Mus musculus: one gene and its partners. The protein of the gene in region 3 binds, or shares a complex with, the protein of the main gene of each other region. Links are inferred from orthologs where the notes say so. Each region holds a gene or a part of one and is shown on either strand. Other genes may lie near its edges.

Evidence for each region.
Region 1: Nup93 (region 3) and Nup54 share a complex: the UniProt entries of both Homo sapiens proteins name them as parts of the p62 complex. The link is inferred for Mus musculus from reciprocal best matches to the Homo sapiens genes NUP93 and NUP54.
Region 2: Nup93 (region 3) and Nup85 share a complex: the UniProt entries of both Homo sapiens proteins name them as parts of the nuclear pore complex. The link is inferred for Mus musculus from reciprocal best matches to the Homo sapiens genes NUP93 and NUP85.

The regions. Positions count from the first base shown.
Region 1 is NC_000071.6:92,428,994-92,439,639, forward strand, and holds the start of Nup54 (nuclear pore complex protein Nup54), read right to left. Parts: upstream 6,207-10,646; 5' UTR 6,078-6,206; coding exon 6,011-6,077; intron 5,990-6,010; exon of another isoform or gene 5,519-5,989; intron 5,391-5,518; coding exon 5,229-5,390; intron 2,130-5,228; coding exon 2,046-2,129; intron 1,961-2,045; coding exon 1,808-1,960; intron 1-1,807. UniProt on the Homo sapiens protein: Component of the nuclear pore complex, a complex required for the trafficking across the nuclear membrane.
Region 2 is NC_000077.6:115,560,696-115,571,341, reverse strand, and holds the start of Nup85 (nuclear pore complex protein Nup85), read right to left. Parts: upstream 6,899-10,646; 5' UTR 6,813-6,898; coding exon 6,780-6,812; exon of another isoform or gene 6,740-6,779; intron 6,189-6,739; coding exon 6,095-6,188; intron 4,742-6,094; coding exon 4,579-4,741; intron 2,980-4,578; coding exon 2,909-2,979; intron 2,664-2,908; coding exon 2,620-2,663; intron 1,641-2,619; coding exon 1,571-1,640; intron 1,344-1,570; coding exon 1,222-1,343; intron 1-1,221. UniProt on the Homo sapiens protein: Essential component of the nuclear pore complex (NPC) that seems to be required for NPC assembly and maintenance. As part of the NPC Nup107-160 subcomplex plays a role in RNA export and in tethering NUP96/Nup98 and NUP153 to the nucleus.
Region 3 is NC_000074.6:94,297,711-94,308,256, reverse strand, and holds part of Nup93 (nuclear pore complex protein Nup93), read right to left. Parts: intron 7,498-10,546; coding exon 7,365-7,497; intron 6,190-7,364; coding exon 6,032-6,189; intron 4,658-6,031; coding exon 4,492-4,657; intron 4,098-4,491; coding exon 4,004-4,097; intron 3,018-4,003; coding exon 2,826-3,017; intron 2,233-2,825; coding exon 2,106-2,232; intron 1,984-2,105; coding exon 1,911-1,983; intron 1,656-1,910; coding exon 1,611-1,655; intron 417-1,610; coding exon 300-416; intron 1-299. UniProt on the Homo sapiens protein: Plays a role in the nuclear pore complex (NPC) assembly and/or maintenance. May anchor nucleoporins, but not NUP153 and TPR, to the NPC. During renal development, regulates podocyte migration and proliferation through SMAD4 signaling.

The DNA of each region.
Region 1 (10,646 bases), on a different chromosome or scaffold from region 3:
GAGCAAAGGGAAAACACTGTGTCCAGGGAATAACCAGGGTCTCAGCTACGACAGAAGTCAAGGGTGTTTGGTGAAGAGCAAAGATGCAGAGGCACTTACTGAAATAGATTAGAAGAATCAGGAAACAATCTAACAGCTAGCAAACATCAGCCTACAACTAGAATTTAGAAATCAGTCCGGACCTGTCAACAAGGATCATAAATGTAAAGGAACAGTCTCCATGTCTGCAGTTAAGGTGTGAACAGGCTGAGGAGGGTGGCTCAGTGATCAGGTGCTGCTACAGACCCGAGGACACAAGCACGGGCAGCAGCACACACTGGGCCCATGGTGCCGGGAGGGGGGCTGGGGAGCCCCAGGAACCAGCTGGCCAGTGGTCTAACCAATTCACCAGGCTGCAGCTCCAGTGACTCGCTCTCAAAAACCAGTCAAGACTGATTAAGGAAGACCTCCACATGGGCACACACTCACACACATAAAATTTGGCGAGTGACATTCTGTGACAATGAGAAGCTTCTGTAAAGCAAAAATAATGACAAGAGTGAAGACAACCTACAGAAAAGGAGAAAATCCTTGGTAGCAACTGACCCAATAAAGTAGTCACATTTAAGATATTACAAACTCCTAACATTAAAATAAAAATCAAGCAAATAATCCAATCAAAACTGAACTAAACCCGACAGTTCGCAGCAGCTGAGAGTGCTTGCTGCTCTTCCAGAAGGCCCAGGTCTGACTCACAGCGAGCCAAGCACATCACAAACAAAACTGAAATGCCTGACAGCCTAACTCTAAAAAACAGGACCCAAAAGGCTGAGTCTGATGAAGCAAGATTTTAACGATGCACTCCTAGGAACAAAGGGTTGGAGAGACAAGCCCTTATTTTGGGGGGGGGGGGGGGGAGAACGGGACCCAGAGGGCTGATTGTATTTCCAACATTAAAAAAAAAAAAAAAGAAAAAAAATCAAAACACACAGGTGAGGTAAAGTTCCTTACAAATGAATTCAACAAACGAATGAAAAAATCTACATGAACAACACTACTTCTTAATCTGTAATAAATTAACTCATCTAAGTAATGATTACCAATGGCTGCTAGCATCATTACAAAACCACATATTTAGATATTATACATTGCATGATAAAGGATATTCTATGACACAGTCTTAAAAATAAAATACTGAACTATCCCCAACAATTAGGAGATACAGATGACAAAGATTATGTTAACTATACAAGAATGACTTCAGTAAAGTACAAATAGAAAACCTGAAAGACAAAGATCTGACTTCATCTGTGAATTAATGATATAAAAGGAGCCTGCAGAGATCTAAGAATGGCAAAATGATCTGTTCAGTTCACACTCGTGACGTTCACACTCATGATGTTCACACTTGTAAACAGCAGAACTACAAAGGAAGGGAAGAGGCTGTGAAAGCCGGGACACAGCTCGTCCCATGGATCAGTGCTATAAGGGAAGATATGGAGTGTGCTCAGGTTCTGCCTCAACATGACAAGGGTGAGCCCGTATGTATAATCTAGTAAACTATACCCCGACACAGAAATCACTACAGCTTTCATGGACTGACTTCAAACGTAGGGCCCTTACAGTCCCAATCATACCAGTCAGTCTTTTTCCTAATTCCAAGAATGCATAAATATTATGCATCTTGGAATAACTTTCTGGAATAAATATTATGCTTTCGGAACTCTTTGGGATACAGTTACAGTCCTTAAAACTAAGGCAATCTGTATCCGAAGCAACATTGCTGTTACTGCCACAATTTTATAGCTGAAGGTAAAATCCCACTTACAAGTCTGCTGCTGCTGCTGCTGCTGCTGGGTATTAAATCCTCCAAATCCAAGTCCGGTTCCCAAGCCAGTGCCTAAACCAGTGCCAGTTCCCGTCGTTGTGCCAAAACCAGTACCAAAGCCAAAACCTTTGTTCTGAGTGCCACCGAGAAGGCCTTTCAATGAGAAATCAGAATTGAGTAAGCTAAAAACATCAACCTGTGCCACATTTATGTCTTAGGACTTAGGATAACCTCTTACCTGTACTGCCTGTGTTTGTTGGGGCTGAAAAGCTGAAGGCAGAGCCTGCAGTTGTAGTTGTTGTTCCAAATCCTCCAAACCCACCTAATTAAAAACGGATAAAACGTAAGGGTCCTTTTGTGCACACAGCGGGGATTGCGTTTTCATTTCAAATTGTTTTGTAAGTAGTTGCTAAATATAAAGGACATATTGATCTAAATTTTTCTTTTCTTTTTTCAACATAGGTTAAAAAAATCCTAATTACTTACTAATCAGAAGGTCAATGCATTGCAAGAAATAAATGACCAAGTGCTTTAGACAGAAATAATACAACACAATACAAATCCCGTTAACTAAATGGGTAACGTGATTGAAAAAAAATTAGACTGTCCTAAGTCTAAAATGATATATATCCACTTTTAGACTAGCTATTACAAATTCAAGCGTCCATACAATTTTGACTAATAAATTAATGACTGTTTACTGACAGTGGAGCTGTTTAAAGTGAACCCCTTAACAAAGAGCATTCTCGAGAGTCCAGAAGGCTACTGTAGGTGTGAGAACGTCACCACTCCCCTCTCCCCTTCCCCAGCAAAAATAGGAAATCTAGATCCTTTGCATAAAACCTGTAGGGGTTTGCAGAGGTAGGGAGTGAACGAATGGCTGAGTAAGTCCTCTACCCTGAACTATGTCTATAGCTTACTCACAGTCTTTTCAAAATCTCCTAGTTCAACGTTGCTGTTTTACAACGAACTCAACTGTTTAAACAGTGCCAAGCATACGATGGCAGCAGATGGCTTGCTTTGCCAGCTCTCAACCGTAATTCTCGTGAGTTAAATTACATCTCCATTAGCTTTCATTAGGGATGCCCTTAGTCTGTGTGAAACAACTACTAAAGGAAACGTACCAAAACATACCAATATGTCTACCTCTATAAAATAAGAATGTCTTTTTTTTTTTTTTTTTTTTGAGACAGGGTTTCTCTGTGTACCCCTGCTGTCCTGGAACTCACTCTGTAGACCAGGCTGGCCTCGAACTCAGAAATCCACCTGCCTTTGCCTCCCGAAAGAATGTCTTTCTTGAAGGAAGGAAAAAAAAAAAAAATAAGTGGAGAAATGGCAAAGAAGGTAGCCTCAGCTACCATGGGCCTGCGTCACACTGTGGCAACCTGACAGGTTCTATTTTTAACTAAATCTATTTAAAAAAAAAAAAAAAGAAAATCAATCTTGGTATATCTTAACAATGTAAAAACAGAATGAAATGACAACCTAATTTAAAGTATTGGCAGCAGTTATCTAGTTATAAATATGCTGCCAAAAACTCTCAAAAAAAAAAAAAACACTTGAACTCTAAATGCTGAGTTACACTCCAAGTTTTCAGAGATTCTAACTTGAACCTCATATATTTCTTGTAATAAGAGAGCCTCTTCAAGATTGCAATGAGATGGATGTCTTGGTATACGCCTGCAATCTCATAGAGAGAGACACTAAGGCAGGCTTACAGTTTCTAAATGACCCTGAACTACACAGTGAGATGCCATTCTAAAGAAAAAGAAATGAATTAGCTTCAATCAATTTTGTGGCACTGGTATTAAATCCAGGACCTTGCTCATACAAGGCAGGCAAGTAGTCTACCACTACCCTGTACTCTTAGCAATACAATTCAGATTTTAAAAATTATTAAATAGGCAACTGAACACATGTTAATTTATAGATTCTATCAAAATACTGCCAGCCAAACATTTTGACATAACCTCTAAAATAAATACTGTCTATAGAGCCCTTTTAACTTCCTACTTTCAAATAATAACTATGTTATTCGAATTGGCTACACACTAAAAATGCTAGTCAGTATCTTGTCATGTTTCAGATTATCAAAAACACTCTTATTAGTAATAGTAGTCCTATATGGATACAAAAAATGTAATTTTTTAAAGCTCTCTCCTGAAGGCTGAGTTAATTAACATATTTGAAAATAGTCAAAACACACTTGTATTTGTACAATTCAAAGTAACAGCGACAACGCCAAATGGACATGAAATCAAGCAAATACAAACAGGTTTATTCGTTGCTGTTAAACTATATGGTTTGCTTTATTCTGAAACATAAATTTCAAAATAAGGTTTGTTTTGCCCAGTGCCAATTTTAAGCAAACTAGGAAAGGTAAACACCCCAGGGGTGGTGGGTGCGGCTTCTAATATTTCTTAATGAGTCCCTTTATCTTTGGAATTTCCAAGTATTTTTCACTATTTTTAACTGAGAGGATAAGGTGACATCAACAATGTAAAACCCAGTAAATGGACAAAATCCCCAACTTTCCCAGTAAGTTTAGAAGTAAGGCTTACCAAATGCATATAATTGGCACGGGCAGCAGTGGCTTGACGGAACATAAACTATGGACAGTACATTCATATACGAGCAGCTGAGGATGGAGAGTTTTCTAAGAGTCATACGGATGTCGAGCTCACATAAGCCTAACTTAAATTGGGTCGTACACATCCATTAATTTGTGTTCTGAAAAATTTCAGTGATCTTCAAACAAGCCACAGATTAAAAAAACCAAAAAACCAAAAACCTTCATCATCCTCTTTTTGAAAGTAAAAGATGCCGAGCCTACTTTTTAGAACTCAGTGTTAATTGGTAAATTAAAACTACTCATGGAAAATTTCCCAAAAACCCAGCAAAGAATCCGGGATTCTTTCTACAATTATATATAGAAATACATCCTAATATATTGAGTTAATGCTAGAAAAACATCGTTACAGTTTGAAAAACAAGACAGGTCGCTGCTGTTCGTATAAGACTTGTTTCTCTTGGAAACACAAGGACAATAAGATGAAATCCCAATGAAATATGTATTAAAAAATGAAAAATGACTGCAGGAGTCCAAGAATCCCAGGGAAACGCTTACCTTCTGCTAAAGCTAATGTTTTAAAAAATATTCGGTTCCCAACTTATCATTTGGAAGCTGTGCTCTGTATCATTAAATGAAAATCCAACCAAGGTGCATTCTAATTCTTTAAGGCTTTCCAAAACCCACATCTTTTAAAGCAGCCAAAACTTTAAATATATTTGATTTGATCTTAGGAAATAAACCCCTTTCTTTATTAGACAAGTGCCATTTCTTCCCCCAAACTCTAGGGACATCGGAACATTCTTGGACTCCAGCCCCCATACTCGTTACACACATGACCCCAGTATCTACCTGCACTCGCCAGACTGTTACCAAAATTGAACGGAGTCGCCGAGGTAGTAGAAACACCGAAATTCCCAATATTAAAGTTCACTGCAGGGTTAGCGGTTAATCCGAAACCCCCAAAATTAAACCCACCGGCGGTGGAGTTGGCAGTCTCAAGCCCACCAAATCCTGATAGTCGTGGAGGCAAGAGAAACAAAAATTTGAAAAGGTGAGAGGAGGGAAAGAGAAAAGGAGAAGAAAGAAAGGTAAGAATTACAAGAATCAGCAAGAGGTTTCACAGCGTGAACAAACCTGACCTGCACCGGATCAGGGGAAGAAAGCCAAGGTGCGGACAGACAGAAGGAGCGAAGGGCAGCACGGGCGGGGGCCGAGCATCCCCCCCCCCCGGGCTGGGGAGGGGACAGAGGGAGCTGCGGGCAGCCTGGCTCCAACTTTACCCGTCTGGACCTTGAGGCTGAGACGGACGAGGGGACGCGGGGTCCCGGGAAATGAGAGGGGCGTAGCCTCCGGCCTCTCCTGGGCGGACACCCCAATGGCGGGAAGCACCGCGGCGGCCGAGCCACGCGGGTTGAGCGTGCTGTGCGAGCCCCAGGCTGAGCCTGAGCAGCCCGCGGCCCTCCCACCGCCACCGCCGCCGCCACCACCGCCACCGCCCTCTCCAAATGACTCCAAGGTGTCCCGAGTGCCAGGGCAACCCCGGGACCCCCCAGCCGGACCGATCGGATCGAGGGGGCGGGCCCGAGGCTTTGGTTCCTTGGAGGAAGAAGGTAGGCCCAGGGCTGACTCACCCGCCGGTGCCGCGGTGGCTGTAGAGGTGCCCGAAGTGCCCGAAGGAGCCCCAAAATTGAAAGCCATGTCGCGGGAGCAGCACTTAGATGGCCCCGGGCTCGCGCGGCGCGACGCCCAGTGCCCTCCGCTCTTCTGTCCGGCTGGGAACCGTCAGGCGGTCCGTACCATTAGTTCCGCCTCCTTCCCGGTCTAAGCGGAGCAGGCAGGAACCAAGCAAGGATGGAGTGGGTGGGATGATCGAACGGGAACGCCTACCACCGATCACTTCCGGGGGTGTGTTTGTGGCTTTCACGTGGTGTGGGGCGTCACCACAAAGGGGAAGTGATGAGAAGTTGGACATGGGGTGTTGTATGGTGGCTCTCTGAAGCCACTTTAGAGAAGTGACAGTGTGCAGGGACCGCGTGAAAGTACTGCCCTTACCTCTGAGGAGCGGTCCTTCCCGGAGGAAAGGAGGTTTGAGTAGATAAAGCAGTTGAGAAAGAGGCATTCGAGAGTGATGGAAAGATGATGGCGATGGTGGTAACACGTGTGTTAGCTATGTGGAATGCACGCTAGTAATTGTTTTTGCATATTTTTTTAAACCCCCAGCTGCGTTTCAGACAGTTTACTACTATTGTCATTGACCAAGAAGAAGGGCTGACCTCGATGAAGCAAATGGGCCCACTAACTGGTAAAATCTGTGCCCTGCATCGCACTTCTGGGGAACATTTAATCCTCAACTACACAGAGAAGATTTCTGTCGTTGACTAATTGGCACAGACGAGACAGGAGGACTGAGGATTAGAGTTGCAAAGCAGCATCCCCAAAGTCACTTCGCTGGTTTTTCTCTACTTAGCCCCGATTCTTTTCTCCTTTTAAAAATATTTATTGTACATGGCACTGTGTTACATTAGGACATCTTGATACAAGTTTATGTTGTATTTTGAATATATATTCCTACTCCTAAATTTTCTGTCTTCTCCCTGTCTCTCCCATTAGTTCCCTAGTAATTTTACTTCATTTTCCATGTCATATGATTTATGTGTTTAATTAAACCTAGGAATCATAAATGAATTTTTTTCCTTCTGTGACTGGCTTAATTCACTTAATAATGTTTATCTCCAGTGATATTCAGTTTTGTGCAAATGACAACATAACTTCCTTCTTAGGGCTGAAAACTCTTTTGAGTATATACCATCCTCTGTTTCTGATCCATCCCTCTGTTGTTAGGCAACTAGGTTTGTTAACAATTGTGACTAATGCTTCAGTAGAGATTGATATACATCTATGTGATAGACTAACTTGGAGTCCTTATAGACATAGCTGGGTCATGTGGTAGATCTAATTTTAGTTTTCTCAGGAACCTCTTTGCCCCATTTTGTGTGTGTGTGAGAGAGAGAGAGAGAGCACATGCATGTGTGGGAAGAGTGTATACACACATATGTGCACACGTGCCTGAAGGCCAGAGATTGACATGGGTGTCTTCCTAATTTACTCTTAATTTCTAATACAAGGTCTCTCAATAAATCTAGATCTCATCGCTTATTTGGCAAGACTGTCCAGCCAGCAAGCCCCAGGGGACTCCTGATTCTGCCTGCCCAGTGTTATGGTTATACATGAATGCCACTGTGCTCAGCGTTTGTTTAATTTTAAATATGGGTGATGAAGATTAAACTCATATCCTCAAACATTAACAGCAAGCACTGTACTGACTGAGCAGTCTCTCTGGCCCCACCTTTTAAAAAAATTACCATTACATTCTGTTTCCCTGCCGGGCGTGGTGGCACACGCTTTTAATCCCAGCACTCGGGAGGCAGAGGCAGGCGGATTTCTGAGTTCCAGGCCAGCCTGGTCTACAAAGTGAGTTCCAGGACAGCCAGGGCTATACAGAGAAACAATGTCTCAAAACAAAACAAAACAAAAATCTGTTTCCCTATAGATTATGGTCAGGATTTCATACATTCTTGATAGCAGTAAGAAAACCTTTGAAGAAGCTTTAGACCAAAGCATCTTATGATCAGAATTTAGTTGTTAGAGACAAGCATGCATGTTTGTGCATGTCTGTAATCTCGGTACCCAGGAGGCATGAGCAGGATTAAGTTGGAGGCCAGCCTAGGATACACAGTGGAAGTATCTCAAACGATTGTGTGTGTGAATGTGGTGTATGCATGTGTGTACCTGTGTGCAGGTGTGCATGCTCGTGCATGTATGTGGAGGCCACAGGAGGACATCTGGTATTCTATTCCTCTTCACCTTAGTCCTTTGATACAGCATCTCCCATTGAACCCAGAGCTTGTGGCTTTGCCATCACTAGGTCCCAGGGATCTTCCAGATGGTACCAGCCAGCACAATTGTTAGACATGCATGGGTGCACCCAGCTTTTTATATGGGATCTAAACTCAGTCCTTATGCTTATATAGTGTCTTAGAGGGTTTCTATTCCTGCACAAACTTCATGACCAAGAAGCAAGTTGGGGAGGAAAGGGTTTATTCGGCTTACACTTCCATACTGCTGTTCATCACCAAGGAAGTCAGGACTGGAACTCAAGCAGGTCAGGAAGCAGGAGCTGATACAGAGGCCATGGAGGGATGTTCTTTACTAGCTTGCCTCCCCTGGCTTGCTCAGCCTGCTCTATTATAGAACCCAAGACTACCAGCCCAGAGATGGCACCACCCACAAAGGGGCCTTTCCCCCTTGATCACTAATTGAGAAAATGCCTTACAGTAGGATCTCATGGAGGCATTTCCTCAACTGAAGCTCCTTTCTCTGTGTTAACTCCAGCCTGTGTCAAGTTGACACAAAACTAGCCAGTACATATAGCAAATGTTGTTACAAAATTGTCTCCTCAGCTCCACCCCCCAAGATGATTTTAAAATGCTTAGATTTATTTTGTCTCTATTTACACGCATGTGCGGGTATGTGCCTGTGTGAGTGGGATAGTCTCAGAATCCAGAGAAGAGGGTATTGGATCACAGGAGCTGGAGTTATAGGAAGCTGTGAGCCCCATGGTGTGGGTGATGTGATGGGAACTGAACGTGGGTCCTCTGCAAGTACTTATTCTTAATTGCTGAGCCATCTCTCCAGCCAATCCTACCTATCTGTCAGGCTCTGCTTTCCTGCCTCTGCCTGTAGCATGCGAAGGACCCACAATAACAACTGGTAGATCCTGGTGGGGGTGGGGCTGGCCACAAGGGGGATGGGGTGGGCAGGAACAACCAGGGATGAAGACCTCAGGCAGCATGTGATTGTGATGGGACTGCTTCAGTGAGACAGGGAGTTTAATGGGGCTGGGGGAGAAAGCTATTTAACCTTTGATGGTTGAGTAGGGACTATTGGGGTGACTGTACATCATTGTTGGGGTCGAGGGTCCTGGGGACACCCCATTTTTGTAAGGAGGAATTCCAGGTGCTGGTGGACATGACCTTATAAGGAGAGAGGAAGTGTAACCTGGCTACCAGGGAGTGGGGCAAAGGGCAGAGCACAGACGTATACACACCGGGACACACAGGCCGGGGGCAGGGGTAGAGAGAGTGACCCTGCTCCAGCCAATCTCAGAACAAGATCTCTGGGGTTTGGACCCCACTCTTGTTCCGGACCCATCCGACGGTTCCACCCACACAACACCTACGCAAATTAATTTTCACGAGATCCCTCTGGTTACCATGGGGAAATTGAAGGGGGCCTGCATATCTGTGGGAAGCAGGGCTGTTAGGGGTACTGAAGGGTTCCATAATGAAGAGATAACAAAGGCTCGACTGTAGCTCCGGCATGTGATGTTGGGAGAACAAACTTCAGAGAGAGGTGATAAATAAACTACATAGCTTCACTGCTTCAAGAACACAAGGAAACTCCCTGGTTGCTGCTCAAGTAGATACGGGTAAATGGTGGGTCACTGTCTACTCCCTGTATGCTAAAGATGCACACTGCACCATGGTTTCTCTGTTTTAAAAAAAAAGTGCTATATGTTTAAATATGTTGTCAGAAATGAAAAACTCCATAGAAGAGTTGGCATATAAATGTTAAGAACTCACCAAGTAAAAACCTTAAAAAAACCCAACTCTCCCAAAAAAGTAAAACTGAAGTATGGACCGAGCCAGCCTCTTAATTGAGCCCACAGTTTATGTCAGCTCTCTTAATTCATTCTTCACCCTGTAGCTAGCAAGGATCTTCCTAATCAAGCATGGTGTCTACCCACCTTCCCGGGCATGTCTATTGAAAACCTCCAATCATTTCCGATTGATCTTGATATAAGGCAAAACACCCAAATCCTGAACATGGCCTGAGAAGCCCTGACATAACACGGCCCCTGCTTCCTTCCTAGTCTCACTGCCCATTGGTCTTTCTTTCCTGAATCCCAGCCAAATACCCTGGTCCTGTGTAGTGGGTTAGTTACTTTTGTATTACTTTGAAGAGACCCTGACCAAAGCAACCTACATTAGGAAGCGTTTAATAAAGAGACCCTCACCATTTCTAAGGGTTCATCTATTATCATTCTGGCAGGCAGGCATGACAGAGGAGTAGTAGCTGAGAGTTTGCAGCTGAGCCCCAGGCAGCAGCAAGCAGAGAGAGTTGGAAGAGTGGCTGGGGGGTGGTGGTGTAGAGACAGAGCACAGGGAGAAACAGAGACAGGCTGGGCCTGGAATGAACTTTTTAAAC
Region 2 (10,646 bases), on a different chromosome or scaffold from region 3:
ACGACCTATTCTGCATCTAAACTTAGGACTTGAATAAGTGTCTACGCACCATTCCTTCTCCTTCACCAGATGCACACACCCACCTTCCTTTTTCTCACATATTCCTTGCCAACTGTATTCTTTTTGTGGTGGTGGGAATCAAACATAAGGACTAGTGCATGCTAGGCAAGTACTCTACCACTAAACTACATCTCCAGTCCCCTGACCAATTTTATGTTTTGAAAGAGTTTCCCTATATTGCCTCAGAAAATACAAGTTAACAAAGATCTATATACCAAGACCGTCTAAAGAGAAATCAAGGCACAGCAGGCACATATATAGCGCACATATGTAATCCCAGCATTCAGGAGGTAGGATTATGAAGCCAGCCTGGTTTAGAAATGAGCTCCAGGCCGGTAGGGTTACACAGTGAGACCTTGTCTCAAAAAGCAAACCAAAGTAGTTCCAGGACAGCCAGGGCTACACAGAGATACCCTGTCTCATGGAGAAAAAAATAATGGGGCAATGGTGGCCACACCTTTAATCTCAGCAGTTAGGAGACAGAAGCAGGTGGATCTCTGTGGGTTCCAAGCCAGTCTGGTAGGACAGACAAGCCTACACAAAGAAACCCTGAATTAAAATACATAAATAAATTCAACAAAATAAGCCAACAAAGTAACCAAAAAGATCCTTTCTCGCCTTGTGGTGCTGGAGATCGGTCTCCCAGATGCTATGTAGGCACTCACTACAATGCCACCTCAAGGTCCTTCCTCAGTGCGCCTCAGCTTTCCTAGTGCCCAGACCCTTTAACAGAGCTCACATTGTGCTAACTTCCAGCCATGGAATTATTTCATTGCTACTGTCATGAATAGTAATGTAAGCATCTGATATGCAAATCCCCTGGGAGCATGAGCCACAGGTTGTGAACTGTTGCCCCAGAGTGTTCTACCTCAGACCACTTATGCTCATGTGCACCCCATCAACCGCTTGGTCCCCTTATAACCTCTCTTCCTCAGACCTACAAACAAAATCCTCCTGAAACGACGGCAAGTTTACCAAGCACCGCTCCCCGTGCTAAATTAGTTTTAAACTGCTCTGGAGCAGAGAAGGAAAGATGCAAAACCTACTCCACAATCATAAACTCAGAGAGCTGAGCCAAGGCTGGAGCAGGGGTCCTCCCAGTCAGCCGACTGCAGCGCGCAGAGTGCACAGGGCGGGCGGCTGCCGTCCGCGCACACTCACCAGGTCCCAGAAGTTTTCATGCTTGCTTGGGTTGTCACCGCCCAGGACATCTGCCGACAAACTGTCCACCTCGCACACGTGCAGTCGGACCCAGTCAAGAAGGTGAAGGAGGAGAGGGCCAGCTGAGGAGAGACTCATGTCACACAAAAGAGCTCAGCTTCATCTGCGGCATCTCCACTCCACCCAAGTACAGACACGGACGTGGATTTATAGCAGAGGACCTGACTGGACAGAGGGCTATTTATTCCCTGCAACTAGGAAGGACAGAGGACGACAGGAACCCTGTGATGCTAAGACAGAGTTAGCCTGGGCTAAGTGAGGCTACATGAAACAAACAAATTGGGGTTACCTGGTGCTACTTCAATAAAGAGAATCTCACACAGGTTCCAAATGAGCTCCATGGCTGACAAAATGGAGACCTAGGGAAGAAACGGAGACTAGTTTTAACTGAAACTATTACTGAAACTCGAATGCAAAGCAACAGACAGCAAGAGAGATGGCTTCACAGTCAATAGACTCTGCTGTGCACACATCAGGAGCAGAGTTTGGATCATAGCACACAGATAACAAGCTGGAGACCTGAGCACATCTGAGGCCTCAGCTACAAAGGGAACAGAAAGGAGGGTCACTGCAGCTTGCTGGTGTCCAGCATAGCCAAAATAACACAACTCCCAGGATCAAGAAGAAAGAGAATGAGCAGAGAGAGTGGACATTCAACATCTTCTTCTGTCCTCCACATGCATGCACAGGTACGCTTGTACATACATACACACAATAAAAACTGTTTTAAAAAGGTGACATGTCAGCCGAGGGCATAGCTCAGCAACAGTGTGCATACTTAGCACACCTACAACACTGGAACCAAGACCAGGCACTGCAACAACCGAAAAAGCAAAGCCCAACCTAAGATGCTTTAGGAAGATGAACGTCCCCCACCCCACCCCACCCCCCTCCATCACCCCTTGTTCCAGGGGGAGAGCATACTGTGCCCATCAGAGAAAGCCTATTTTCCCTGTTCATGAGTTAGAAAAGCTCTGGGGTCTCACTGAGGAAAGAGTCCTAGATGTCGCCTTCTAGTCCTGCTGAGTTATAACCACATGCTGCTTGACAACAATTCTGAGTTCATGAGACCAAGCAGTAGTCCTAGAAGCTCGGTTCTCCATCTCAAGTGACAACTCACAAACACCATGTGTTAGGACTCATCTTTTCCACAAGCAATGAAAACCCTGAGTTCCCATGGGCTAAAACCTTGACCAACACTTTCAAAGCCATACTTGCCATCCCAAAGAGCTGCTGATCTACCTGAAAAGGAGAGCCCTCCTGCAACAGGGACCACAAAGCCACCACCCTACGCACTAACACGATGTTGCCAATACAATGAAAGCAGCTACACCTTACCTGGCTGCTGAACTGCCGGCCACTGGCTGGATCTTTAGCAGCAACTAGCAGAATACAAAACACCTTAAGTCAATCAACCTGCACTGAATGTAGCTCATCTCCTAAGCCCTCAGAAGCCCCATACGGTTTTTGCCTTGGTTTCTTTTACCACCCACCCATTTTCATGTGAAACGCTTATGGATCACACATTAAAACAAGGACCTATTATGAACTGCACAGCAGCCTCCTTAAAGGCCTCTGGAGAAAACAGCACCAGATAACGTACTTCAAACACACACAGGGTCCTTACTTGCAACCTGATGCATTTCTTCCATACAGGCCCGTATGACTGAACGGTAATTTTTACTCACTCGAACCAATCTACAAAAAAAATGAAATGACATACAAGATGACATGGAACCGTATCTTGATGCTAGAAAGAGAGAAATCAAAAGACAGGAGACGGGCTGCAACATCAATTCCAGGAGCTCTGAGTGCTCTGGCCTCCAGTACATATAAACTCATGTGGTCACACCATACCACACAACAAACAAACAGCTTTGTCACAGTGGTTTTAAAGTGCGTACTACTGTTGGAAAGGACCAGAGTTCAGTACCCAGCACCCTTATCAGATGGCTCACAACTGGCTGCAATTCTGGTTCTAAGAAACCCAATGTCATCTTCTGATTCCCACAGGTACCTGCACCAATATGCACCTACACATACATGGTTAAAATAAGTCTGGACTGCAAAGACGGCTCAGGTTAAAAGCACTACTGTTGTAATCAAGCCTGTGGCGTATTTTCTCAGTTGATAACTGATATGGGAGGTGCCATCCGAAGCTGGCGGTCCTGGCTGCTGTAAGAAAGCAGACCGAGGGGCTGCAGAGATGGCTCAGTGGTTAAGAGCTCTGACTGTTTTTCCAGAGGTCCTGAGTTCAATTCCCAGCATCCACGTGGTGGCTCAAAACCATCTGTAATGGGATCTGATGCACTCTTCTGGTGTGTCTGAAGAAATAAATCTTTTTAAAAAAAAAACAAGAAAGAAAGAAAGCAGACTGAGCAAGCCACGACAGTATGGCAGTGTGCAGGGCTCCTCCACGGCTTCTGCATCAATTTCTGCTAAAATTCAGTGCTCGATGCTCCAAGCACTGAATTACCACAAGCCTGGTAATCGTGTCTGTAACCCTGAGCTTGAGAAGTAGAGGCAAGAGGACCAGAAACTCAAGGATACACACGTATTTGAGCACATACATAGCCTGGGCTACACAAGTCAGCAGAGTGCATGCCAGGTGTATGAAACCCAGTTTCACCCTCATCTACTTACTGAGCTCAAGGAACGAGCACAACAACAACAACAAAAAAGAGTGAATAATAGGAAAGAAAAAAAACAAACCGTAGCCTGGAGGGCTGGCCCAGTATCACGGCTCAGCAGCTGGGCACTCAAAGGCAGCTCGAGCTCCGCCACCCCAAAAGGAAGCAAAAAAACCAAATCCTGATTCCTTGTCAAAAACACAAGCTTGAGAAGCAAGTCTTTCTTTTCCATTTGCCTTGTCTGCTGACGCCTGTATTTCTTTCATATTAAGACAGGGTCTCGCTTCTGCAGCTCTGGGCGGCCTGGAACTCACTCTGCTGACTACCAGCTCTTAAAGATCTGTCAGCCTCGTTTTTAACTCTTTCAAGAGTGAGATCTAATTCAAGGGCTTCTCTGTCTGAGTCTTCCTTTCACCATATTTATATTATTTTTATTTTGGTCGGTGGTGGTGTTCAAGGGACACATACAAATGAAGTAGGAATCCAAAAGGAAGAGTTGATACATATATATCAAGCCAGTAAGTCTTCCAACAGCATTTACACAATGCACAACTACACCCTAAGAAGATACACAGGAGAACAGGAACCCCGAGGTGCCCCGGCACTCACAAGGATAAGGACGCCTCCCTCTCACGACTTCACTGCAGCCTCAGCACCCACCACTTACTGAGCTTTCCTGGACTTCCCCGACAGTTCTTCCTCAATTTTTTGCAGGCCAACAAAGATTCCATGGGATTCATTGAAGAGTTTTCTCAAAATTTGAGAGTAAACATCCACATCTTTCCGTATGATGTAGATAAAAGGGCAGCTCGGCACCTTCTCTGATTTGCCTGTAACAAAACAGGAAAAAAAGTAACTCAACATCTACCATTTTCCCCAAAAGAGAAAAACATCCCAGTACTTCTAATTCTCTAATTACAAAGCCCGGCTGAGCCTGGGGCACATGTCCACTTTCTCCACCGGTGGGAATGAGACGGGAGGATTAAAACTCAAGGGAAGACTAGTGCACACAGTCGGCCAAGCAAACCAGGTTTACGCCAAAAGAAAAAAAGATTTGTCTTCATCTGGTCTGTGTAGGCTGAGATTACAATACAAGCAGGCAGCACAACACAGACTTCTTTTTTGGTGATATTGATGATCTAATTAAGGACACTGCCCATGCTAAAGAAGTTATCACTGAGCCACTGAGTGATAGCCTACATCCTTGGTTTTTGAGAATGGGTCTGGCAACATATCCCAGGCAGCTGGGGACTCTCTATTCCCCCCGCCAACTCTTCTGCACAGTAGAAAATCTAAGGTTGCAAGCGAGCGTTGCCTGAACCCAGGACTTTGCCTTCAGCTGAGGCAGTCTAACTCACTTCTTTGGGCTTGTTTTTGTTGGGTTTCTCAAGACAAGATTTCTCTGTGTAGCCCTGGTTGACCTAAAACTCATTCTGTAGATCAGGCAGGCTGTGAACTCACAGAACCACCTGCCTCTCTGTCTCCTGAGTGCTGGGATTAAAAGGTGCGTATCTCCACACCTGGGCTATATGGGTCGTTTCTAAAGGTTAATTATAGGAAGGGGGCTGAAGAGATGGTTTGGCGTCTAAGACAACTGGCTGAAATTTCCTGCCTTTAATCCTAACACTCAGGAAAAAAGAGCAAGTAATTTCTGAGTTCAAAGCCAGCTTGGTCTAAACCAAGTACCAGGACAGCCAGGCTACACGGAGAAACCATCTCAAAAAACCAAAACCAAACAAGAAGTACACAGGCAGCTCTTCCAGAAGACCTAAGTTCAACTCCCAACACCCCATATGGCAACTCACATAAATATAGAGTTCTAGTTCCTAGAATCCAATGATCTCATTTGGCCTCTGCGGCACCAAGCACGGAGTGGTGCACAGTTATGCACGTAGACAAAATGCCCATACACAGACTATAAAATTTAAAAATTACTTAATGTCAAGTGTTGAACCACACACCTCAAGTCCCAGCACTCTGGAAGTCGAGGGAAGAAGATGTAGAATTCAAACCTACACAAAGATTGCACAAAGACAAGCCCACTAGGACTACATAGGGGCAACTTGTCTCAAAATAGCAAAAAAACAAAGTTTCAAAAATAAAAATATTGCCAAATAACTCCAGTTTCCTGCCTCAGAGAGTCAACCAATGTGCCAAGACAGATGTGAAAAAGAACTGCCTACCTGTTTGGTTGAAGGAAGTTTCACACAGAAGCATCTCGCCGGGGCCCCAGTCAAAACACATTTGCTTCTTCTTGGAATTCACACCTGGAATCCACTAGTAAGACATAAGGAGGCACAGGAGCTGTTAGCCCTACAACTGTCCATTCAACTTCCAAGTGTAACTGCGAACACCATACACCAGGCGAACAGCCTAGGTCGTATCCAATGATGCTGTGCACATATTCAGACATATACACACTTAAAAAAACATTTTCTAGGTGCAAGAGGAATAGAATACAACGCGACAGAAACTAGTCTATTGTCTCCCGTGAGAACAAATTATGCATTTATTAAGCCTCGGACTAGGACAGCAGGACAGGGAAAGGCCAACTCATCCCTTGGAGTGACCATGTGGGGCTTACACCAATCTCATTCTAACGCCCAAGGGGGGAAAACTAGAGAAGCAGAAAGGTTATAAAAACAAGGGTGATGCAGTGGGGTTTCCGCGAGCCGGCCAGTATTCACAGGACCTAGGGACCACTATTGCCATAACCTAGTTCCCAGTTAACCTGACATTCGGGATGGTGGCAACTGTGTCCAGGGAAGAAGCGTGCGTCCCGCATGTAGGGAGGCAGCCTGAAATGACCAAAGAAACGTAACCCTCACAGTGCAACAAGCCAAGCCACTCCACTCCGATCGCCCTTACAGTTACTGCGGGCTCGCAGTCGAGCTCCTCCATAGCGCCGTGCCCCCCGCGGCTGGGACCCTGCCGCGCGGCCGCTTCTCTGCGCTCAGGCCTCCCGCTCACAGACAGCTGCCAAAGAGGACCCCCTCCAGGGCGGCTTGCGCAGCGCCTGCAGACCTTAGCGCAACAGATCCCTTCGTCTTAGCCAAACACAGCCCCTTGAAGCCTTTCACACATGTTCCACTATTCTAACCTATACAACACATCATGAAAACGGCTCTAGGGCCCACGGGTCCTCAAGGAATGTTCCCAGTAGATCAGGCGGCGCCACAGACAGTCCCACACTAGGTGAGGGAAAGGTCCCCGGAGATGGCGGGAGAGGCGGTGGCTGGGAGGGTGTGCGCATGCGCAGAAGCGTGCTGGCGCATCTATTTCGATTGGAGAGCTACTCCGTCTCTGTAATCCTACTTTATCTCTTAGCGGTAGTTGTGATCCCTCCCTCCTGGTCTGTTATTAGAATATTCTCAGTCCCTTTTCCGAACTCCGACCAGTATAATGCGCTTATTTTGGAATTAGTCTCGGACACATGACATCCGTAAACAACGGGACTTCAATCTTTTATGTACTGGCAACTTTTCTTTCTTTAGGATTATTCTGAACTATTTCTACCTTAAATTGGTGGTCATACATGACTTGGAAGTAGGGCATAGTAACATAAGCCGGAAGATGCAGCACTTGGGAAGTAGAGACTGAAAAATCGGGAGTTCAGAACCAGCCTTAGCTACATGGCAAGGTTGAGCTCGCATCGGGGCTAACTGAGACCCAGACTCAAAAACCAAACTCCCACAAACTTTAAGGAAATAAAGGAAAACCTTTCTGTCAAATTTTTATCCAAATCCTAATCATCAGTGATTTAGGGAGCTAGAGTGTTGGCTCAGTGGTTAAGAGCATACGCTGTTCTTCCCGGGGAACCTGGATCAATTCAAAGCACTCACATACATGTGGAACAGTCCCAGGCAATCTGATGCCCTCTTCTGGCCTCTGTGGAACCAGGCACACACATGTAGTACACAGACATACACAAAACACCAGTATATATACAATAAAATAAATTTTATAATTAACTTTTTAAAAAAGATTGCATGTATGTGAGTAAACTGTCACTGTCTTCAGACACACCAGAAGAGGTCATCAAATCCCATTACAGATGGTTGGGAGCCACCATGTGGTTGCTGGGAATTGAACTCAGGACCTCTGGAAGAGCAGTCAGTGCTCTTAACTGCTGAGCCATCTCACCAGCCCTTAGTCTGTCTGTCTTTATTTTTTTGTTTGTTTGTTGGTTGGGTTTTTTTTTTTCTGTTTTGTGTGTGTGTGTGTGTGTGTGTGTGTGTGTGTGTGTTTGTTTTTCGATACAGGGTTTCTCTGTATAGCCCTATGCCTCCCTAGTGCTGGGTTTAAAGGCGTGTGCCACCACACCCGGCAAGCCCTTAGTTTTTCAAGACAGGGTTTCTCTTTGTAGCTTTGGCTGTCTTTGAACCTAATCTGTAGACCAAGCTGGCCTCAAAGTCAGAGATCTGTCTGCCTCTGCCTCTGGAGTGCTGGGGTTACAGACCTGTGCTACCACCACCCAGTGACAATATTTATTTATTTATTAAAATTATTTATTTTAGGTATGTGAGTACACTGTCTTGAGAACACCAGAAGAGGGCATCAAATTCCTTTACAGATTATTATGAGCCACCATGTGGTTGCTGGGAATTGAACTCAGGACATCTAGAAGAGCAGTCAGTGCTTCTAACTGGTGAGCCATCTCTCCAGCCCCCTTGTTTTTATTTTTCTGTCCGTTGGTTTTTCCTACATGATGTCTGTGTGAGGATGTCAGAAGCCATGGATCTGGAGTTACAGACAGTTGTGAGCTGCCATATGAGTGCTGATGATTGAACCCTGGCCCTTTAGAAGAACAGCCAGTACTCATATGTGTTGAGCTATCTCTCTAGCCTCAAATATGTTTTTTTTATTTTATGTATATGAGTACACTGTAACTATCTTCAGACATACCAAAAGACAGCATCAGGTCCAATTACAGGTGGTTGTGAGCCACCATGTGGTTGCTGGGAATAGAACTCAATTCTCTGAAAGAATAGTCAATGCTCTTAACCACTAAGCTATCTCTCCAGCCCTACCAACAATTTTTTTTTACTGTTTTAACAATTCTTTTTTTATTATTAGATATTTTCTTCATTTACATTTCCAAAGCTATCCCAAACCTCCCCCACACACACCCACTCCCACTTCTTGGCCCTGGCGTTCCCCTGTACTGAGGCATATAAAGTTTGCAAGACCAAGGGGCTTCTCTTTCCAATGATGGCCAACTAGGACATCTTCTGATACATATGCAGCTAGAGACACAAGCTCTGAGGAGTACTGGTTAGTTCATATTTTTGCTCCACCTATAGGGCTGCAGATCCCTTTAGCTCCTTGGGTACTTTCTCTAGCTCCTCCATTGGGGGCCCTGTGAGACATCCAATAGCTGACTGTGATCATCCACTTCTGTGTTTGCTAGGCCACGGCAGTGCCTCACAAGAGACAGTTATATCAGGGTCCTTTCAACAAAATCTTGATGCAATGGTGCCAACAATATTTTTTAAGGAGAAAAGAAAAAAACTTAACATTTTCCCAAGTAAAAGTAGTGATTAAAGCCGGTCATGGTGGCACACACCTTTAATCCCAGCACTCGGGAGGCAGAGGCAGGCAGATTTCTGAGTTCAAGGCCAGCCTGGTCTACAGAGTGAGTTGCCAGGGCTATACAGAGAAACCCTGTCTCGAAAAAAAAAAAAAAAGTAGTGATTAACTGAGCTTGGTAGCTCATGTTTCTAATCCCAGCATTTGGATCTCTGAGGCAGAAGGATAATAAGTTCAAGGCCAGCCTGGGCTATATCACAGACCCTGTCTCCTCAACAAAATGTACCTATGATACCAGTAGCATAATTTGTAACAAAAGATGGTAAGACAACAGTCATTAGCCCAGCCCTCACTATGTAACCCAGACAAGCTTCAAATTCACACTTGTCCTCCTGTCTCAGCCTACAAAACATTTCTTTGTCAGATATGATCTACTATGTCTGACTCTAAAATACTTCTATTTCTCCCCCCCCCCCGGGGGGGGGGAGGTATGTTTGTGTGGATGTGAGTATGTGTGTGGATGTGTGTGTGGATGTATATGTGTTTTTGTGTCTGCTAACCAGTAGTGTGTGAATGTGTGTATACAGGTATTGTTAGCCATTTATTTATAGTAGTGCAGAGGCCAGAGGAAGACATTGGGGTCATACACTATTCATGTCCCTGATTTTTTTTTTTTTTTTTTTGGAGACAGGGTTTCTCTGTATAGCCCTGGCTGTCCTGAAACTCTGTAGACCAGGCTGGCCTCCAACTCAGAAATCCACCTGCCTCTGCCTCTCAAGTGCTGGGATTAAAGGCATGTGCCACCATGCCTGGCCCATGTCTTATTCCCTTGATACATACTCTCTCACTAACAAGGAGCACACATGTAAGTGAGGCTGATATACACTCACACTTGACAATAAACAAACATATGGCTAGAGACTCGACTCAGAGGCTCTTCCTACTTTTACAGAGGACACAAGATCAATTTCCAGCCTCTAGTAGGCAGCTTGCCAGTCTGGAACTCTAGTTTCATGGAATCAGTGGCCTCCACAATACTTAATGTTACACATACATGCTGGCAAACACTCATATATATAAAACATAAATTTTGTTTTTAGTTTTAAAGTAGAGACCTGCCTGCATCAGCCTCCTGCGTGGTGTGTGTGCCATTACCTCCCAACAATTTTTGTTTTGTTTTTTTTGTTTTTTTTGTTTTTTTTTTTT
Region 3 (10,546 bases):
TAAGTCATCAGTGCTTATCACATACTCGTAGGGAGATGCGTTTAACTCAGGTTCTTGGACTGCACACTGTTGGCCACTGTAGAAAGCTACCACGGGAACCACAGTGGTTTTGACAGTGTCTACAGGAGAGACTTTCATTATGCTGTTATTTGGCCATAGATACTTTTCGGACAGTTAGACTTCTGTAAAATGGGAACTTGACCCTGATTGAACCATTTTTACGCCAGAGAACATGTTTCAGCTGGGACAGTAGTGCAGAGCTTGGGCATTCACGCCGAGTCAGGAAAAGGGAACATTACCTTAGCAAGGTCATAAAGCTTCGCTGCCTCTTCAAACAGTCCTTTGTTTTCTGCCACCGAAGCAACTTTGTTGATAATAGGCTTTGTGTCACTGGTAAACTTATCTATAACTCCAGGCTGACAAGACAAATATCAAGGGGAAGGGAAAGACTCAACACCCCGCAGCAACTGTGTCTCGGAACACACAGCTGAACAGTTGCCCTAGTCAACAGTCTTCATCTGCCAGACTCGGCTCTCCTGAAGACATAAGGCCCCACACCATAACCACAGAAAAAGACAGGGCACGTTAATGGGAGCACTATGGAGTCAGCTATGGCACATTAGTGGTTTCTGAGAGATTTTCCAAAATGACTAAGAGTAGGTAAAACTATTAGTGATTCTAAATTTGCTGGCAAGCAGGATGTTATGAGAAAATACTTTTAGGACTTTCAATTTGCTTTCTAAGACAGATGCAGGAAGTGGTGGTGAGGACTTTGAAATAGCCTCTGTCACCACTCACTAGCAGGCACACGATCAGGAGAGTCTGACAGGCCCCAGGACTCAGGGAGGGAAGACCGACTGCGCAACACTGTGCTTGACCGTGCATGCTAAGGCACCTTCAGGGCTCGGCCAAATTCCAGTGCCCTGCCCCTCAACCCAGGAAATGCACTGCATGCTCAGATTCCACTTGTGTGCTCTTGAAGAAAGTACTTAGCCACTTTTATTTCTGCTTTGGTTCTCACTTTGTGGGTGACTGTCTTACCTGAGTAAGATACTACACAAAGCCAAGAAGATGGCCCCCACTATCAGTACCGGCAGGCCCCTCATCTGGGCGCCAGGCCAAACCATGAGGTTTACACAGGAAAGTGAGTAGCTGTGGGCACCCAGGGGGGCCAGGGTTAGGACTGGGCCCTGACATGGGGCTTCTGCCCTTCTCTTACAGTGTCCCATGGCATGGTAAGTCCCAGAGGAGCTGCTAAGGCTCTTGGGAGATGGCATTTCTGGGGTTGGTGGGGAGTTCTGAGTACTCAGAGGTGAAGTGCATGTCTAACTTTCCCATCTGGAGAGAGTAGGCAGAGTAAACCCTAACTTTTCTTCATGTTTTCTGAGTCAAAAATACAGCTGCCTTAGCTTTAAGAAAAATGTCAGACAGAACATATGAAAACACTAATTACAAATTTATAAATTTTAAAGAAAGAAAAATGTGTGTAAAACTAATTAATGCTATCAGTTGGGCTTATAATTTCATCCTTCCATTTGTTACAATTCATGTATCCAGATGACTCCTACAGTATAACTACATTCTGACAACCAAGGACACATTTAACCTACCTTTCTACTTCCATCGTTCTCTAGTTTTCCAAGAATCATATCAAACTGTGGGGGAAAAAAGGTTTACTCAGCTTACTGGTCAAGGAAATAAACATAACACACAATTTCTTAGGGCAAAGGGAAAGGAGAGGTCTCTCACAACTAGGACACAGTGAGGCTGAAGTCAGTATTGTCAGTGTAAGAAACCAAAGCAAGCCCTGCCCTGCCTGCCTCCCCCTCTAGGCCATGTACAGCACACACACAGAGTAGAATGAGAGCACACTAAAAATTCCAGCCAGGGTGATGAGAAAGCTGACCTACCTCTCGACTTTCTATCACAAGCTCGCTCACACAGCGCAGAAACATGTTTTCTCCTTGACTGTCTTTCTCATCCCTACAAAAGCACAGGAATAGCTTGGGTGGTTTGTGGTACAGATGCAGACTGAGTCTCTAACAGTCACTGTCAGGATGGAGAAATAAAAGCTAGGCAAGTACAAAGGCAAAGGCAGGATTCACCTGAGGAAGTAAAAGTACTGGAGGGCTTCTCTTGGGTCCGTGGACTCAAACTTGCGGGTGTAGAGCATGAGCAGACGCACAAAGTTCAGCCGTCGCATGCAGGGAGGGTCGCCAGGCTCGTGGCTGACTGTACATGGGAACAGAAGGGCCCCTCAGACCCCCGCAATCCAGGACCCATGGAAATCAAGTGTATAAGCCAAGAAGCGTGACTTCTGTGGTGCAGTCCCCATTTCCCAGTACGACCTCACCAGTGGCTTCACTTTCCTTTGTACAGACAGTAGAGGTGAATGTCTCTATGGCAGATGGCCAGCAGATGGCCTTTACAGGAAACAACTATGTACCTGACCATCATGGCTCATGTACTGGGGAGAACGTGCTGACCCAGTCAGCCACTCACATTTACCTGGCTCTCTACCTGCCTCTCCTACCTAGGAAGTCAAGTTGATAGGTGGCTAGCTGGTGTTTCCAAGGTCTTTAAAGCCAGATCCCTAATGAACGTCATACTCATGACTCCTGGAATGGCTCTGCCTGGCATCACCCTTTAACATTCCAGGAAATGCCAAGGGGTTAAAACAAGCATTCTAACACTAACAGAAAAGCTCATGTACCTACAATGCTCTAAAATGACCAAAATCTGGAGTGTCTGTCATTTCCCGACTAGGAACAAGGGGGATGGTGCACTATGGCCACATCAATGCCAGCTAAGACCTAAATACTCACGGAGTTGAGCACTCTGTCCAGAGGACTTTAAAAGCAGCTTTAGCTCAAACAGCACCAGGGCCACATGGACAGCATGGCAGCGCAGCCGCTCCATGCGGAAGAGGAAGGCAATGGCAGCTTCAAACTGTGCAGTCAGGAACAGCACTTGAAAGTAGAGGAAGGGCTGCTGGTTCACCGTGAAGTGGGACTCGCCTGCAGGAGAGGAGGTAAAACACACTCAGAAGGATGCTGCCACCCACTGAGTGAATGGTCTCGTTGAGTGGAAAAGAAGCAGCCACATGAGCCTAAAGTAACTGAAGGGACACTGGGCACAGGAAACTACATGAAATGCCACCCGAAACCAGGCACGGTGGTGCAGGCTTCTAATAATTTCAGTCACAGCAACAGAAAGACAGAGACAGGTAGATCTCTGTGGACTCAAGGTCATTCTGACCTACAAACTGAGTTCTGTAACAGACAGAGAGAAGCCTTGGCTTAAAACAACAACAACAACAACAACAACAAAAAGACCCAGCTCCTCTCTAGGCCTCACTCATGGTTAGAAAGAAGGGTCCTGTTATAAAAATCTAAGCTGTGTGCATTAGAGAGGAGAGAGACGGCTCAAGATGCTGAAGTGACAGTTGTCTTCAATATACATAGAGACAGAAAATGCAAAGCGCATGTACAGTCGGCTTCACAGAAGCCTGAGCTCAGCAACAACAGCTGCAGTCACTGACCCTATACTTCCTACAACTGTTCAACAATGAGGAGGTCAAAGGGAAAAGCTACTCCTCTCCTTTGTAATCAGGTGTGACCACTAGCAAGATCTACAAGGAAGCAACTAAGGCCTTATTCACCTCTCTCCCAAGCAAGAACTAGAAAAAATGTTTATGGTCTATGACTATGAAGTCACAGCTTTCTATTTCCTTATGGTGGGGCCAGAGATCAATCAAACTCAAGGTCTCTGGAATGTCAGGCAAGTACTGCAGTACTGAGCTACAGCCCCAGACCCTTTTATTCTTATTCTGAGACAAAAATTTTACTGTTTCCTAGGTTGGCCTTGAACTCAGGATATTCCTGCTTCAGTCTCTCAAGTATCCAAGTGATGCATATTTCTTAACGCATAATGGTCTGTACCTGATTGAAAATGGTAAGCCATATACCCCCCCAAAGGAGATGGTGACTGTCCAGGATCTTACCATAGTCTTCTAGCAGCTGCTTCTGGAACTGTGAGAGAGTGAGCCTGTCTTGTGGTGAGCTGGTGCCGTCATCATCAAAACACACCTGGTTCAACTAAATGCCCAAAGGAAACAAGCACATTGGTACAGACTACACCGTCACCCACACGCAGAGCTGTAGCTGCCCAGCAGCTAAGCTTGATGCTGTGAGCTGGGGCTACATGACACACTGTGGTTCTTGGGGCTGGGCTGTATTTTAGTAGAGCATGACTGATGCCCTAAATTCCGTCCCTAGCAAAGCAAAGGGAAAGGGAAGTGGGGGAAGAGGAGGGAAGGAAAGAAGAAAAAGAAAGCTGACTGTGTAGTTATTAGTTGGGAATTACACAATAAAAAAAATAAAGTGGATTTGATACAAAATCCACTGTCCCTGTCCTGAGTACTACACAAACTTCATGCATTACGAGCGTTGAGCATGGCGGACTTGAGCAGCCAAAGGACACTGTGCCTACTTTTAACCATAGGTAGTCCTCAGTCTTGTCGGCTACTTCACTCTGATTGTCGGTGATATCGCATCTCCCAATAATACAGTACACAGCTCTCTTGTAGGGGTCTGTGTTGTTCCTGAGGGCTCTGCGGTAGTGAAGTCGGAGTTTGTTTTCTGTAGCTGGAGACAATCTGAAGACACAGAGAGAGAAAGACTCAGCAAAGATCCTGAAAGGTGAAGTGCAAGCATGCCCATAACAGTCTGGAAGCTCTCCATCATCCTGAGCACAGGGCCTCTCTGCTCACCCACCACTCTCACCTGACTTCTAATTGCTAGCACTACATCCTTTCGCCCATCGGCCTTCTACAGGTCTAAGACCTCATTAGGAAGACTGGGGATTCTAGGGCTCAATATTCCCTCCAACATCCCTCAAGCAGGTCCTTCCCTAAATGTCTTGCTGTTGACGTTTATCAGCATGCACATGTGTGTGCAGCAGAGGGTAGAGGGCAGAGGTCGACCTCTCATGCCACTCTTCGGGTGGGTGGTGGGTTTTGATACAGTATCCCTTTCTGTTCTGAGCTTGCCAATTAGGTCAGGCTGACTTGCCAGAGCCCAGAAAGCCGTCTTTCTTCACTTCACCAGTGCTGAGATCACCAGCTAGTGCTACCGTGCTTAACAAGGGCTCTGGGACTGAACTCAGGTTTGCACTGCAAGCACTTTTACCTACTGAGGTTGCACTCCAACTTCATCCTTCAACTTTCTTAACCTTGGGCCTCCACACCCCCTTATTCACACGGGCTCACCTTCCAAATAGTAGACCTGTACCCCAATCTTTGGCTCAGTTGGGTGCTAATGCTGCCTCTACCCCAGTGGTGATCAAACCCTGGGCTCTGTGTATGCTGGGCAGGCAGATGCTCCACTTCTGAGCTCATCTTCAGCCCTAAACCTACTTTAAACTATCTAAGCAAATCAGAGGCTTAGGATCTGAGATAACTTCCTAAAGTGGCAGTATTAGCCCTTGAGTATTGGCTTCCCACAGGAACCACTGCAGTGAGTGTCACATTTCTTCTATACATGTGCATATATACAAACTGGGTTTGAACATGAACGTGTGTCCAATTACATAAGCACAACCAACTGCTGCTTACCAGTCCCTTAGTTTAGGAACGCTTCTTGAGGCAGTGGTCATTATCTCAATGCTAACTTCAGACTGATGAAATTCTAGCTCTAACTTGAGTCATAAGGCATACAGCAAATAGCATACACATCCACATGACTGAACAAAGAATATTTGTATTTAACAAAGTAACTAACACAAAAAGACTCATTTTATTTCAGTTATTATTTAGTTAGTTTTCTGGAGACAAAACATCTTGAACTCACAACCTGATGTCTCAGATTCCTGTCTGCTGGGATTACAGGCACACACCAACACTCTTGGACAAAAAGTTATGTTTTATGAAGCAATCAGTCTTAACCTAGAGTCTGTTCCATGCAGTCCTCCACTGACAGGAAACTCACTAAATGCAGTCTATATCTGCAGCAAAGCACAGTGCTCATGGTACCTTCTATCCTTGCTGTTCATGTACTCCTGGAACCAAGTTTTAAATTCCCCAAGCTGGTGCTGGGCTCGACTGACGACTTGTGATGCGGCAAGCAGGTCTCCACAGCGCATGCAGTAATAAATTAATGCCCAGACAGGATGGCCTTCTACCTCTCCATCCTACAAGACAAAGGCACAGTCAAACAAAAGCTAACAAACACTTTGTGATGTGAGACACCCAGCTAAGGTACGCAGTTCCCACCATAACCCCATGGGCTAAGAGCCACTGATTGTATCCTATTCCCTGTGTTTCGAAAACACATTGAGTTGTCCAGGGAAAACTGGGAGTGGCAGTGTGCGATGGATCTGGAGGTACTGTGATGCCAACAGAGCCCACCTATGCTTTTTCTCCTAGCCAGCAACAATGGGATCACCTTCTTTGATTTTGACAAAATAAAGGCTAAAGATGTCACTGACTAATGAGAGCAATTCATCCACTTGAGCTTATAAAACTGAACATGACTTATCCCTCCAAATGTTTAACTGTCTGGATATCAAGAGCTGCGAGGTGACTGTCTCCCACTCCCAACGATGTGACCACCCACCCACTTTTCGCTTGTCCGTGGAGCAGGCCTGGCCTTGTACTGTTCGTTGTCAGTTCTTTCGGAACTCTTGGCACTCCCCGCCCTTCTGTAGCAGAAGCTTCATCTTGGCATCACGTGCCCTCTTCAACACGGTTAAGCTATGCAAGGCCACATGCTCAGCTTTGGGACTCAATGCCTTCCTTTACCAGCTAACCCAAAGCTTGCTAAGCCCTGCCACATGCCCTACCACTCCAGATACTCTGCTTTCTCTCTTGTTTGTCCACACTGTTCTCCCCGCCTGGAACAGCCTTCCAGAGGCCCACTGAGGGTGAGCCCCTGCTCTTTAAGAGTTAAGTTTGACCTTTTATGAAGCTAGCATCTTTAGGCACAAAGCTCCAGCTTAGCTTGTACATTCTATCAGACACTGTAAAATAACCCCCACCTGCAAGACAAGCAGGCAGAGGGACTAAATCACACTCAATGCCACTCTTTCAGCTGGTTTGCTTTAAACTTCTGACATATTCCTCACTTCGTGTCTTACACCCACATGTAAGTGTCTGAGAGAGCACTTAAAGCTTAACTTTGAAAACTCATCTGAGACATGGTGTTGGCACATCTCCTGCCTCTACTCAGGATTTTTGCATGACTGGTTTTGAAAGGGCCCCCAGGAAACAGCACGACCCAGCCTCTTTACCACACAGAACTCCCTTCAACTAAGAATGCCTAAGATCAACTAGTGGCTCTGGAATGTGTCTGGCCCTGCAGAGGTACCTGAAGTCCTGGTGAAGGAGCTGGCAGTTTAATGTTTAGGAAACTCCGAACCAGCTGGTAAGTCCCAGGCACACCGCCCAGCTGTGCCTGATGCAGATTTCCGAAGACAGTCACAAGGGTGTAATTCTTATAACTAGAAACATTTTTAAAAGAAAAAAAATGGTCAAGGTTGACAACATGTACTACACACATCCATCTCCATGTTCAGAACACATGACTCTGAGTTCTACAGGCAAGGGCTGACTTTAAATTTCATACAGAAAAGGAAACACCTATGCAATGAAGCAAATTCCACTCTTATCATTGTATAGATTTTTACTACAGGTACCCCAGATAATTCCTAGGAATACAGCTGAGGATTTCCAATACTTCAAGAGTGGAGCCTACTGCTCTAATGGGTTTGCTTTTGAAAAACAAAACTTATTTTAAAGAATTCGAAATCAATTCCATGAAAAGTCAGAATTGTCCAGTGAATTCCATCCTACCCTTTACCTAGATTACCAGGTTCTAACATCTGTACGCATTTCCTAGCTCTACCCTTCCTATCCCACACCCAAACATACATAGGAACAGGATTCTGTTTATTCCCAGAAGCATTTACAAATGTTGTTAAAAGGTAAGTATGTTACCTGACCTACCAACATTTCAGCCATGTACCTCCTAAGAGCCAGGATATTTTCCTACCTAACCCAAATGCCATTATGACACCCAGAAATTGAGTATTAACAAACTACTATCTAAAGCACAAGCCACTGTCAAGTTTTTAATAATGGATTTGACCTGATTCCTATGCTCATATTCACAATTCACCCGTCCCCAGTTCTGTTTGTTTGAGACAGGGTCTTACTCTGTGGTCCTAGCAGTTCTGAAACTGAAGGTGTGGGGGGAAGGGGACGGGGATACTTTGTATTTATAGTGATCCTTCTGCCTCAGCTTCCCAAGTGCTAGAACTACAGACATGAACTATAGCACCCAATAGATTGTTTTCCTTCTAAATCCCAGACTCAACTTATAAAATCCAAGGCTCTTTGCTTAACTGGCACCCACTTTCATTCCTCTTTAGTCCAGGGAGTTCTCCCACCTTCTGTCTTTCCTGATACCCACCTCTTTAGACAACCAAGAAAAGTTGTCTGACAGAATGCCTCACAAGCTACATCATTTCTATGTGACTAGGCTCAGACTTAAGATTTTGTAACCCAGTAACTAAGTCTTTGTACACAATGACAGTTTTACAATGAGAGTCTGCCACTGGCAGCTACTATATCTCTTGGCTACCAAGCACTGACCAGATCTTTCTAACAGTGCACTATAACATAAGACTCTTCTCTTAGTACTCAAGAAAAAACCTGTGTCTGTGTGGCTACTCTGTTCTCTGTCAATGTTTTATCTTACCTAATACTGTTAGCTCCCAGTGGCAGTCTATGCTGAACCATTATTACAGTGGGGACTACAGAATGCTATCAATTCCCGCGTCATTTCCCTACTTTGTACCATGCCTCTTTATAAGTGTTTCTACTCCATTATTAGACCACACTATAATCAGAACTTTAAAAACATGTTCTGACTGCCTCAAAAGGTCAGATAACCCATGAGCACAAAGATGTGCAATGTCCAGTTAGATGCTGTGAGCAGTGAGGTGAGAGAGGGGGAAAGACGGGGAATAAACCCAAAGACCAATTTCAGAGAACAAATCGTAAAATTTGATGCATTAGTAATAATGGTGTTTAAGAATTAAAAGTGAACTATGCAAAATTATGTATCATATATATCTAGATCATAACTACAAAAAATAAAACTAAACTAAATACTCATGACTAAAGAAGGAAGAGGAGGACACTATGAGGAGGCAAAAGGAGTCTCTAGGTGTGAGGGATGGGGACCTCTCTTCTGCAGGTCTTCTTTTCAGCATTTTCCAAAGTTTCCATAAAAAGCATGTATAATGGAAAAGAAGCACAAGGTAGTTTATAAATGCATTCTCCCCACCACTGCAAGTATTTAAACGCACAAGATGAGAGGACAGAGTTCTATGTAGTAGCCAGAGCAAACAGATGCCCACTACTACCTCTTCCAACTTGTAATAAGACACGTGTGCTGGCAAGATCCTAAATTAAAGAATTCTAAACTCTTGAAAACCAAGACAAATATATCCTATCTCAAGCCTTGGAACACGGAAGGGACAGACCAAGCCTATATTTTCTCAACATTTTTGGCCTGATCTCTAAAAACCTATTTGGAACCAGGTCTACTTTACCATCTGGTGGATTATGTATCCTGAAACATTACGTGTAGACTGTCAGCAGAAAGGCACCTGCAGAACTGTATCCCTGAGATTGCTATTCTAAATAGGTAATAAGAAAGCATTCAAAAGGATGCTGTAGAGAGTAATGCTACTCAAGAGATGGAGAAAAGGCTTTATTAACTGGACAGGTGCTTCTAGGGAGCTCTAAAAGTCCAGCTAGAGAATGGGCAATGAAAGAATAACTAAAGTCTGGGCTGGAGAAATGGATTAGCTGTTAAGAGAACTTTCTGCTCTTACAGAGGACCTGGGCTGGGTTCCTGGCACCCATATGGTTGCTCACAACTGTCTGTAACTCCATACTGTTACAACCTCACTGTACCAACCTCACTGGCACCAGACGTACACATGGTGTACATATGTACTTTCAGGAAGAACACCCATACACATAAAATAAATACATTTAAAAAGTTAAAAACTGCGTGGAATAAATAATAAACTGGGATGCATAAACAATAGAACACAGACCTGGTAGCTGAAACACCAACTTAATGATTAGGTTTAACAGAAAAAGCATTTAATTTTTAATTCCTTAAGATTTTTATACGGTATAAGATTATCTGGCTCTTAGTCTTGTAACTAAAAATGAACAAATATTACTTTATTAGGGTCCTTATACTTGACAGTCAATACAGTCAAACTTCCATCACAAAAGCTTAGCCAGTGGGGCTGGAGAGATGGCTAATCAGCTGAGAGCACTGACTGCTCTTCCAGAGGACTTGAGGTTCAGTTCCAGCACCCACACAGTGGCTGGCTCACAGTGTCTAGGGGGTGCAGTCCTAGGGGGTCCAACACCCTCGTCTGGCCTCCATGGACACCGTACTCTTGTGGTACACAGGCATAACTAACCATAAAAATAAAAATGTAAACTAACGTGAAAACAGTC